Linked DNA regions of Macaca fascicularis. The protein of the gene in region 1 purifies or fractionates together with the protein of each later gene. This does not show direct contact. Links are inferred from orthologs where the notes say so. Each region holds a gene or a part of one and is shown on either strand. Other genes may lie near its edges.

The links. Proteins that work in one complex are often made in the same cells at the same time.
Region 2: the proteins of POLR3B (region 1) and POLR2L purify together in Homo sapiens (affinity purification with mass spectrometry; 5 studies listed by BioGRID and IntAct, with this or other methods). This does not show direct contact. The link is inferred for Macaca fascicularis from reciprocal best matches to the Homo sapiens genes POLR3B and POLR2L.

Annotation. Positions count from the first base shown.
Region 1 is NC_088385.1:113,277,761-113,282,617, reverse strand, and holds the start of POLR3B (DNA-directed RNA polymerase III subunit RPC2), read right to left. Parts: upstream 3,277-4,857; 5' UTR 3,202-3,276; coding exon 3,130-3,201; intron 2,974-3,129; exon of another isoform or gene 2,862-2,973; intron 1-2,861. UniProt on the Homo sapiens protein: Catalytic core component of RNA polymerase III (Pol III), a DNA-dependent RNA polymerase which synthesizes small non-coding RNAs using the four ribonucleoside triphosphates as substrates.
Region 2 is NC_088388.1:742,090-746,927, forward strand, and holds POLR2L (DNA-directed RNA polymerases I, II, and III subunit RPABC5), read right to left. Parts: upstream 3,202-4,838; 5' UTR 3,181-3,201; coding exon 3,086-3,180; intron 1,187-3,085; coding exon 1,078-1,186; 3' UTR 910-1,077; downstream 1-909. UniProt on the Homo sapiens protein: DNA-dependent RNA polymerase catalyzes the transcription of DNA into RNA using the four ribonucleoside triphosphates as substrates.

The sequences.
Region 1 (4,857 bases):
ACAGTGAGGCATACATCACACGCTGTGCTTGCAGCTGTACTTGTGCCCACGCCTCCTCCTTCTATCTGGAATGCTTCCCCACCACCACACTTCATCCACATCTGGCAAACTCAGTTCAGGCATCACATCCCAGCTACATTTGTAATACCAATACACCCCTCGCCTACTTGTATCACAGTACCTATTGCATGTTATTCCACCTGCTTACATGTCTCTCTCTATAAGCCTATAACACACTGGGAGGCAGAAGACACATTTTTTGAACTTATATAAACCCTGTGAATAATACACCACCAGGTAAGTACTCAGTAATACTGATAAATATTTATTCAACAAATAACTGATTAATTGGCTCCAAAGCTTGTGTTATTTCTACCATACTACCATGCTGCTGTACTACCATAAGCACAAAAAAATACACACCAGGCATGGCCAGTTCAAGTAAAACTGAGCTCTTATCTAGAAAAAGTTTTAGAGAAAACACTGAAGTTGGAAAGTTTAAGTAAATATTTTAATATCTCAATTTAAAAGGAAATGGCAGCAAGTAGTAGAGATCTACCATCTTCTAGGAGACTCAGGAAAGGCCTTCCTAGGGAAGTTGTATCATAGATATGTGGGATTTAATCTACAAATAGGAATGGGAGAGTGATCCAGAAGGAATTGTACGAGCAGAGTAGAAAGATCTCAAGGGAGGGAGAGGGGAGAATCATGGGAAAAGACGCTAGAGAAGTAACTACTGGTCAGACTGAGGAAATTTATTACAAACATGGTAAACACTAGATTTTGCCCTAAAAGCAACAGAGATTGAAGAATTTTAACCAAGGGAGCAACATAACCATGTTTGTGTGTTTAGATGGACAGCTCTGGCTGCAGAGCAAGGAACAGACTGGATTGGGACAAGTCAGGTGCCAGGTAGGAGAGTTAGGACGTAAGAGAGGAGAGTGGTTCTGGGCTGGAAAACAGTGGGAATGAAGTTTCAGATAAGCATAGATTAAGAACTCAAGACTTTTTAGAGGTGATGGTGGACTGGATCCAGAGAGCAGGAAGAGGAACTGTTATTCTTGAATCAGAAGGCTGGAATTATAGCACTGATCACTTCATAGCTGTGTAAATTCACACAATACATAGAACTCTCCCAGGCTTATTTTTTCAGCTCTCTGGAGAAGCAATCCGATCAGCAGTTAGGGATGAAGACTAGAGTCAGACTGACAAGAGTCAGATTAGCCACTTACCAGCCTTCTAATGCAAGGCTATTTACTTCACATCTCTGGGCCTCTCTGGCAAAATGGGGGTGAAAATAGCACTTATTTCAGAGGATTAAATAACATAACGCATGTTATGGTTAAACAGAGCCTGGTACATTAGCAAGTGCTCAGGGAATGCTGGCTCCTTGATATTTACTTTTCATGGTTAAAATACAGTTTTGCAGCGGGGCGCGGTGGCTCACGCCTGTAATCCCAGCACTTTGGGAGGCCGAGGTAGCGGATCACGAGGTTAGGAGTTCGAGACCAGCCTGGCTAACACAGTGAAACCCCTTCTCTACTAAAAATACAAAAATTAGCTGGGGATGATGGCGGGCATCTGTAATCCCAGCTACTCGGGAGGCTGAGGCAGGAGAATGGCGTGAACCTGGGAGGCGGAGCTTGCAGTGAGCTGAGATCGCGCCACAGCACTCCAGCTTGGGTGACAGAGCGAGACTCCACCTCAAAAAAAAAAAAAAACACACACACACACACAGTTTTACCTGATGAAGATCAGCAGCCTATTGCATGCACTCATAGACTGAATCTGACGAACTGCTAATCCAATTTCCTTAACTTGTCAAATTATTATAAAGAGGTTTTGTTTTCTTTTCCTCAAGACAAGGTCTCATTCAGTCACCCAGGCTGGAGTGCAGTAGCACAATCACAGCTCACTGCTGCCTCGACCTTCCAGGCTCAAGTGATCCTCCCACCTCGGCCTCCTGAGTTGCCGGGACAACAAGTGCACAGCACCACACACGGCTAATTCTTGTATTTTTTGCAGAGATAGCGTTTTGCCATGTCGCCCACGCTGGTCTCAAACTCTTGAGCCCAAGTGATCCGCTCGCCTTGGCCTCCCAAACTGCTGGTATTACCGGAGTGAGTCATCACGCCTAGCCAAGGAGGTTCCTATAATCCGACAGATTTACTCATTATATCACTTTCCTGCTTAAACCCTTCAAAAGCTCTGCTCCAAGACAAAGTCCAAGCTCTGTCAGATGTTTATTGAAACTTTTCATAATCAAGACCCTTACTTAACCCTGTCTTTTATCTCTCCTCCTCTATTTTTCTTCACTCGAATACTACTGGATTTACTTTCCTTCCTCAAAAACATCCAATGGTCTTGCCGAGGAGGTTTCAAGTATCTTATTCTCTCTCCCTGAAATCTCTCCTTTGCTATCGTCTCCGGCCACGTCTCCACTTCCCTATTCCACGTCAGTGTAGATTTTGAGGCTCAGAGAGGTTATGATATGTGCCTTATCAGATAACAAAACATGTCGACAGCCATACTTCATTGGGCAGCTCGCTGTGAGACAGCTGTCCTTAACTTCTGAGAATCTGATGAAAGCTATGGACTCTCTCCCTGAGAAAACACACAGGCAAATTCTTTAGTAAATATTCAGGGCGTTTAAAATTCCCCTGCAACCCAAACTTGAACTTCAGGTTAAAAGGCAAGATGACTAGCTTGGAATTCAGACGATCTGGTTTTACCCCCACAGCCAGCTGCGGTGCTTCATGCAAGCAGCCTGAGCTCCCTGGCCCCCAGTGTCCTTTGTAAGACTGCAAACATGCAATACGTCCCCCACAGTAAGTGCGAGGGCCAGTCCTCCCCACGCACACCTATGCCGGAAGAGCTCCAACCCGAGAGCCAGCCGCGGGGCTTCTCGACCCCTGCAGCGGCTGACAGCTCCTCTGGGCTCAGCCTTCACTCGCGCACGCGGATGCCGGCTCTGGAAAAAGACTGGCACGCGCGACGCTCTGAGCATGCGCAGATGCCCGGCGCATGCGCACAAACCTCCAGCCCGCCCCTTAGCGGCCCGGCACTCCCGGCAACGCCCCCTCAGGGCGCATCCAGGCCCCTGACGCTCCATGAGTGCCTGGCACTCACCTCTACAGTCGGGATCGGCGCAGCCAGCTGCTCCGGAGTCAGGTTCCCAAACTCCTCCGCTAGCACGTCCATGCTGCTCACGAAGGAGGAAGAAGCAGATAGAACCTCCGCGCCCGCCTTCCCTGCACCAAGCGAACTGCAAGACTCCCGGAGAACGGTGCGCGGAGGCCTAAACTGTCCCCGCCGTGTTAGCTAGAGACGCGGTAGAAAGGTTCCGCCTGCTCCCTGCCCGAATCTGCGGTGGAACCCGGATGTGGCCGAGGCCGAGTAGGGAAACTGCGCCTCCTGGTGTAGCTCAGAGGTCTGGCGCGGGGAATCCTAAGCCCCAGCTGTCAGGTTTCTTGCCAATTCTCTGATAATTGAGACCAGGAAAACATAGTGGTTGTCATTTTAAAAGTAATCCGAAGAAAAGTGTAAACGCATAATTTACCCAACTTGAACCACTGAGGCAGAGAATTGTTTAATGTAGTCCAAAATTATATGCGTTGTTTAGTATGGAAGAGCAGGAAACGTCCCAAATGCCTACTAATAGGAGATAAATTAAATAAATGATGGTACATGCGTGTGATGGAAGAGTGTTCAAAATTCTCAAAAGCACTGATGGAAGATGTAGGAGTAAAGACCAGTGTATGGAGAAATTTAGTATGAAAAGATGACATTTACGTTAGTAGGGGAAGGATGGCCTGTCCAGTAAATAATGTTTGAAGAGCTGATTACCCATTTGGGGAAAACACATGTAAGTGAAACCTTTGTGGATTAAATATTGAAATGTTAACAAAAACTTAGAAGAAAATGTAAGTGCAGATATTCATAACGTTGAGATGATGAAAGTTTTCAAGATAGCAACACTCAAGTCATAAAGGATTTCATAGTATAATTCTAAACACGATTTTATGATTCCACGGAAAATTTTTAATTTTCTGAACAGAATTTTTAAAATCGCCAATGAATAGAATTAATAAAAAAATAAATTGGCAGAAGACAAAGGGCTGGTCTCTCTAGTTTACAATGAGCTCATACAAATCAATGGAAAGAAAAATCCTATTAGAAAAAACAAGGCAAAGTGCACCAATTAATTAATGGGTACGGAGTTTCGATTTGGGAAGATGCAAAAATTCTGTAAATGGATAGAGGTGATGGTTGCAGAACAATGTGAACGTATTTAATGCTGCTGACCTGTACATCATTTTAAAGGGTTAAAATGCTACGTTTTATGTATATTTTAGAACAATAAGAAAAACTATGAAAATTTGTAAGTACATGTATGCTTTCCAATTTCTCCCTCATAAAGGTAGAACCCTTGCACCAGGTTAATTCTTCTTATTTCCTAAAGAGCTACTTAAATTTCAGTACTTGTATTTTCTACGTGTTGCACTGACATCTGAAATTTGAGAAGAATGGGAAAAAGACCAAAAGTAGAATCAGCCCTGCCTTTGAAGTTCTTACAATTTACTTATTATGGAGACAAGATACAACTTGTGTCTCATCCTTGTGCATTACCAGATTGCAACCGATTTAGCATCTAGCCTGGAAGGGACTGCGAAAGTGATTTATAGATGGCAGAGGATCTCAAGGTTGGCTCAAGTGTGTTGGTTGTCTATGCCAAAGTCTTCTTTGCTTTCCATTATCAAGGTGGTTCTCCAACTTTAGGGTGTATTAGAATCACCTGGAGAGCTTGTTAAACCATTCTCAGCTTTCTGATTGGTAAACTGGGGCTGAAAGTTTGCT
Region 2 (4,838 bases), on another chromosome or scaffold:
TACCCTGGAGACGGGAGCCAGGGTTCAGTCACTGATTGTACCCCCCACTGCCCAGGCTCCTGTCCCTAAGGCTCAGAACTGAAGACCCTCAGGCAGACCCATTCTCCCCCACCAGAGGGCACCACGCCAGGTATCTCAGCAGCAGGGCCATCTGACCTGGGGTGCTTGCTGGCAGCACTGCCTGGACAGCAGGGCCTCCTTAGGGCCGCCTCCCAAGCCAGCTAGGGGTGTCTTAAGGCCTGCCCTCCCTGCTAGACTCGGGTGGGACCCTCAGGGACAGGCAGCAGTGGGCAGGGGCCAGCAGGTGCTGGCATCCGTGACCATAGCAAAGACTGGGCCCCAGACGATCTGGTTCTTTTTTTTCTTTTTTTTTGAGATGGAGTCTCACTGTCACCCAGGCTGGAGTGAGTGGCGCAATCTCGGCTCACTGCAAGCTCCCCCTCCCGGGTTCAAGCAGTTCTCCTGCCTCAGCCTCCCGAGTAGCTGGGACTACAGGCGCCCGGCACCTCGCCTGGCTGTTTTTTTTGTTTTGTATGTTTAGTAGAGACGGGGTTTCACCGTGTTAGCCAGCATGGCCTCAATCTCCTGACCTCGTGATCCACCCGCCTTGGCCTCCCAAAGTGCTGGGATTATAGGGGTGAGCCACCGTGCCTGGCCTAAATCTGGCTCTTCAGATTCCAAGAGAGAGAGTACAGGAGCCTCTGCTCAGTCTGAAGAGCACCCAGAAGGAGGGAACCTCAGCCCTGAGATGGAAGGCTCTCCTGGCAGCACCTCCTGCAGGGGTACCTGTGGAACAGGCTGGCCCCAGGGCTAGGAGAATTCATGGCCCAGTCGGCTTCCCTGGGCTGCCGCGGTGAAAGCTGGGCCTAGTCCTGGCCCCTGACATCCTAGTGAGGGCTGGGACCTTGGTAGTTCTGAAAGACCTTTACTGGATTGTTCCTTCCAGAGTGGGGGATGGGACACACACACGCTGTGGCGAGGCATTGCGCCAGCTCCTGGATGCCTCAGCCTTGTGAACTTGGGGCAGGATGCTCATGGCCCATGGTCAGCATGGCAGGTAGGCGGATTCCAGCCTGGTCACTTCTCCAGGGGTGCATAATTGAGCAGCTTCTCGATCAGGTCCACGTGGGCCAGCAGCATCCGGCGGCAGCAGTAGCGCTTCAGGCCCAGGGCGTCCAGCGCATCCCTGTGTCAAGCGAGGGGAGGAACAGAGAGGCCAGCTGAGTTCTCCACGGTCTGCACAGGCCTGGAGCCCACATCCAGGCCGCCTCTCACTGCCTGCTGGCCTCACTCCCCTGCTACCGGCAAGGCGAACACATTCACCTGGATGAGAAGTAGAGACCTAGCGGTATGATCCTGGCTGGAGTAACCTGGCAATGCCCAGATCCCTGGGTGGAGCGTGAGGAGCCTTCTCTCCCACCTACTCTGGCTGTACATATGTGTGTCTAACATATGTAAGAAATATAAATGAAACGAAAACTAGAGGTAATTGGGGGAGCATAGAAAACCAAGGCCACCGAGGTCCTGATGCGCAGCTCCCCTCATCCCGCACCAGCCACAGCAGGGTAGCTCTCCAGGGGCCTGCCCTTAGCTGGTTCATCCCCCACCCCAGAGCAAGCCCTACTCTGCCACTGTGGCGTCTTTTCTCACCTCTGCTTCCTTCAATCAGGGAGAGACTGCTTCTCCAGGGAGCCACCTCTCCCATTTCCCAAGCCAATTAGAAGCTTTAATTTCCCTGGGACCAAGGTCCAGTCACCATCAATACTTCCAGAAAACTCCCACACTGATGGCTCCAATGTGCAGAGAGAGAAGCTTGGGAAAGGGGAGGCCACATGGGAGGCCCCTGCAGTTCATATCCCTGGGAAAGGGTCTGGACAGGCCACCAGCCACTCACTCTGGCAGCCCACTCGCTTTACTCATTCGTCCAGCAAGCTGCACTGAGAGCCTATGGCAGGCTGGCACACACGAGCCTGGGGTTTCACATGTGACCAGGACTCAGCAGGCAAGGGTCAGACTCCAGCAGGGGCACCAAGACTCAGGCACGGTGGTGACAGCAGCACTGAGGGACAAGCACAGGAGAAGGATGCCTCCCCCACAAAGCCCGATGATGAGGGTGGTCAGCAAGTCTGCCCTGCATTTCTTTTTCTGTGTGTGTGTGTGTGTGTGCGTGACACGGAGTTTCACTCTCTCATCCAGGCTGGAGTGCAGTGGCGTGATCTCGGCTCACTGAAATCTTCACCTGCCTCCCAGCCTCAAGCGATTCTCTCGCCTCAGCCTTCCAAGTAGCTGGGACCACAGGTGTGCACCACCAAGTCCGGGGAATTAAAAAGATAAGAGGGCCAGGGGCGGTGGCTCACACCTGTCATCTCAGCACTCCAGGAGGCCGAGGCAGGTGGATCACCTGAGGTCAGGAGTTCGAGACCAGCCTGGCCAACATGGCGAACTCCTATCTCTACTAAAAATACAAAAATTAGCCGGGCGTGGACACGCCTGTAGTCCCGGCGACTGGGGAGAATTCCTGGAGCCCAGGAAGCAGAGGTTGCACTGAGCCGAGATCGCGCCGCTGCACTCCAGCCTGGGCGACAGAGCGAGACTCCGTCCCCCCCAAAAAAAAAAAAGAAAAAATTTCTGGAGATCAGGGTCTCCCCAGGTTGTCCAGGCTGGTCTCGACCTCCTGGGCTCAAGCAAGCCTCTCGCCTCGGCCTCCCAAACTTCTGGGATTACAGGCGTGAGCCGCCGCGCCCGCCTGTCCTGCAGCGAGGTTTGCAGGACATGGGGTGGGTCTGGGAGCAGAGACGAGAGATTAGGACGGAGACCAAGGGCTTTACTGCGGGTGACAAGACGCCTGCCACCCGCCAGGCCACCTAGAATCCCCAGGACACCACTGGTTTGAAGCCCAACTCCGCTCTCTCCCCAGACTTCAGGGGACAATGTTCTCCCGAAAGCAGATCACAGAGCTGGGCCGGAGTGGCCGGGTATGAAGCTGCTCATGGAGCGCCGGCCCCAGGCAGCGCTGCGCCTCCCGCCCCGGCCCGCACCCCAGGGCGGACTCAGCCCCCAGCCCCGGCCCCAGCCCGCGCCTCACCCCTCAGTGTACTCGGCCTGCAGCAGCCCCAGGTAGGCCTCCCACTTGTTGCCGACGATCTTGCCGCAAGTGAAACACCGTACAGGAATGATCATGGCGGCGGCGCGTCCCAGACTGCCCGGCCCGGTCCGGCCGCACGGGAAGCACTCCCCCCAGGCCCCGCCCCGGGCGCGTCCACTATCGCGGGGGGACCGGCTCCGCTCGTTCTCCGCTGCCCCAGCCGTTCATACACTGGCCCCGGCGCAGCTGGCCGCAATTTCCGCCGCCATGGGGATTCCCCATGCGGCCCGGGGCTCCTGGGCCTGCACGGCCGCGGCAGCAACAGACGACACACCCCCGCCCACCATCTTGGTGCGTCCCGGAGCTACGGCGTCTGAGCAGGGCCGAAAGCCGCGGTGGCGGTTCGCGTTTCTCGTGTCCGCTTGACTGACAGCTGCGCGGAGGGAGCGGACGAAGCGAGCGGGAGGCGGCGGCGCAGGTAGAGCGCCCGGGGGGTCGTGGGGGCGTGCGGCCAGGGTCTCGCGGCCCGAGGTGTCCGACCGGGAGCGGCTGGAGCCGGACGCGAGCGGGGCGCGCGAGTTCGAGCCTAGAGCCGACACGCAGCAACAAGTGGGGTCCGGCGCGGGGGCTTGGGGAGAGGGCGGGCGCGGACCGGGGCGGGTCTTCCTGCTGCCCCTCTTGGCCCCGCCGGGTAGTGGGTCCCTCCGCCTCCGCCTCTACTCGCGGGGTGTCCGGGGCTCTCGGCGCCGAGTTCGGGGGTCCCATTCTGGACGCGGCCCAGCCCCTAGGAGCGCCGTCCTGGCCTCGGCCGCGCAGTTACGGCCCCCGCCGGCTGCTCCCCGCCCCGGCCTCCTGTCCGCGTTCTTTCCGCTCCTTCCCAGGAAGGGGGTCGGGGTGCGCCCTCCCCGGTCCCGGCTCTGCTGGGCTGCTGGCCGTCCCGACGCTGAGACGCGCCTCTGAGCACGGGGAGAGGGGGCCCGGGAGGGAGGTCGGGGAGGGCGTCGTGGAAGAGGTGCTCTTTGAATTGAACCTTGAAGACCGCGGCACAGGGGACCCCTGGGCAGACTCCCGGAGGCTGCACTGGCAGGACCCGCTGAAGGCCGCAGCTCTGCCTTGCCCTGGAGCTCAGGGCCTACGGAGGACGAGGGAGGGGGAGCCCGTGTCTCTCGGATGGAGTGCGGGGGGGCTGGCACCAGCACCCTCCTTGCTGTGCCCCTAGGGTGGGGGTGAGGAAATGGGGGGTCGGTGTGCAGTAGGAGGCAAAGAAGACTCCTTGGAGGTGCCAGGTAGGCTGTGGGGGGGTGGGTGGGCTGCAAAGTGGCACCCATGGGGGGGCTCTGGGCTGGGGCTTCCAGCTGGGGTGGGACCTGTGCTGGGTTCCAGGCATCAGCTGCCGCTTTCTCAGGGCAATGCTGGGTCTGCCTTAGTTGCAGGGGAGGAGGATGAAGGGTTTTCTGGATCCAGAGTGGTGCTGGCCAGATCCACTGCACACTTGGGATTTCTGCTCCCAACCTGGCCAGGGCCCTGGGCAGCTTCCCCAGTGGCATTTGTCATACCCCACCCAGCCACGTGCAGAGCCACGAGCGGAGGCCACTTCCCTTCCCTGACCCCCTCCCCCCAGGATGAGTGGACGCACATCCTGCTCTGGCAGAGGGGCAGGACAGGGGCCGTGAGTAACGGTGGCCTGGGGTCAGAGCCAGGCTCAGCTGCAGAGGCTGCTGGTGGCTGTGGAGGTGAGGGAGGAAGGGGGGTC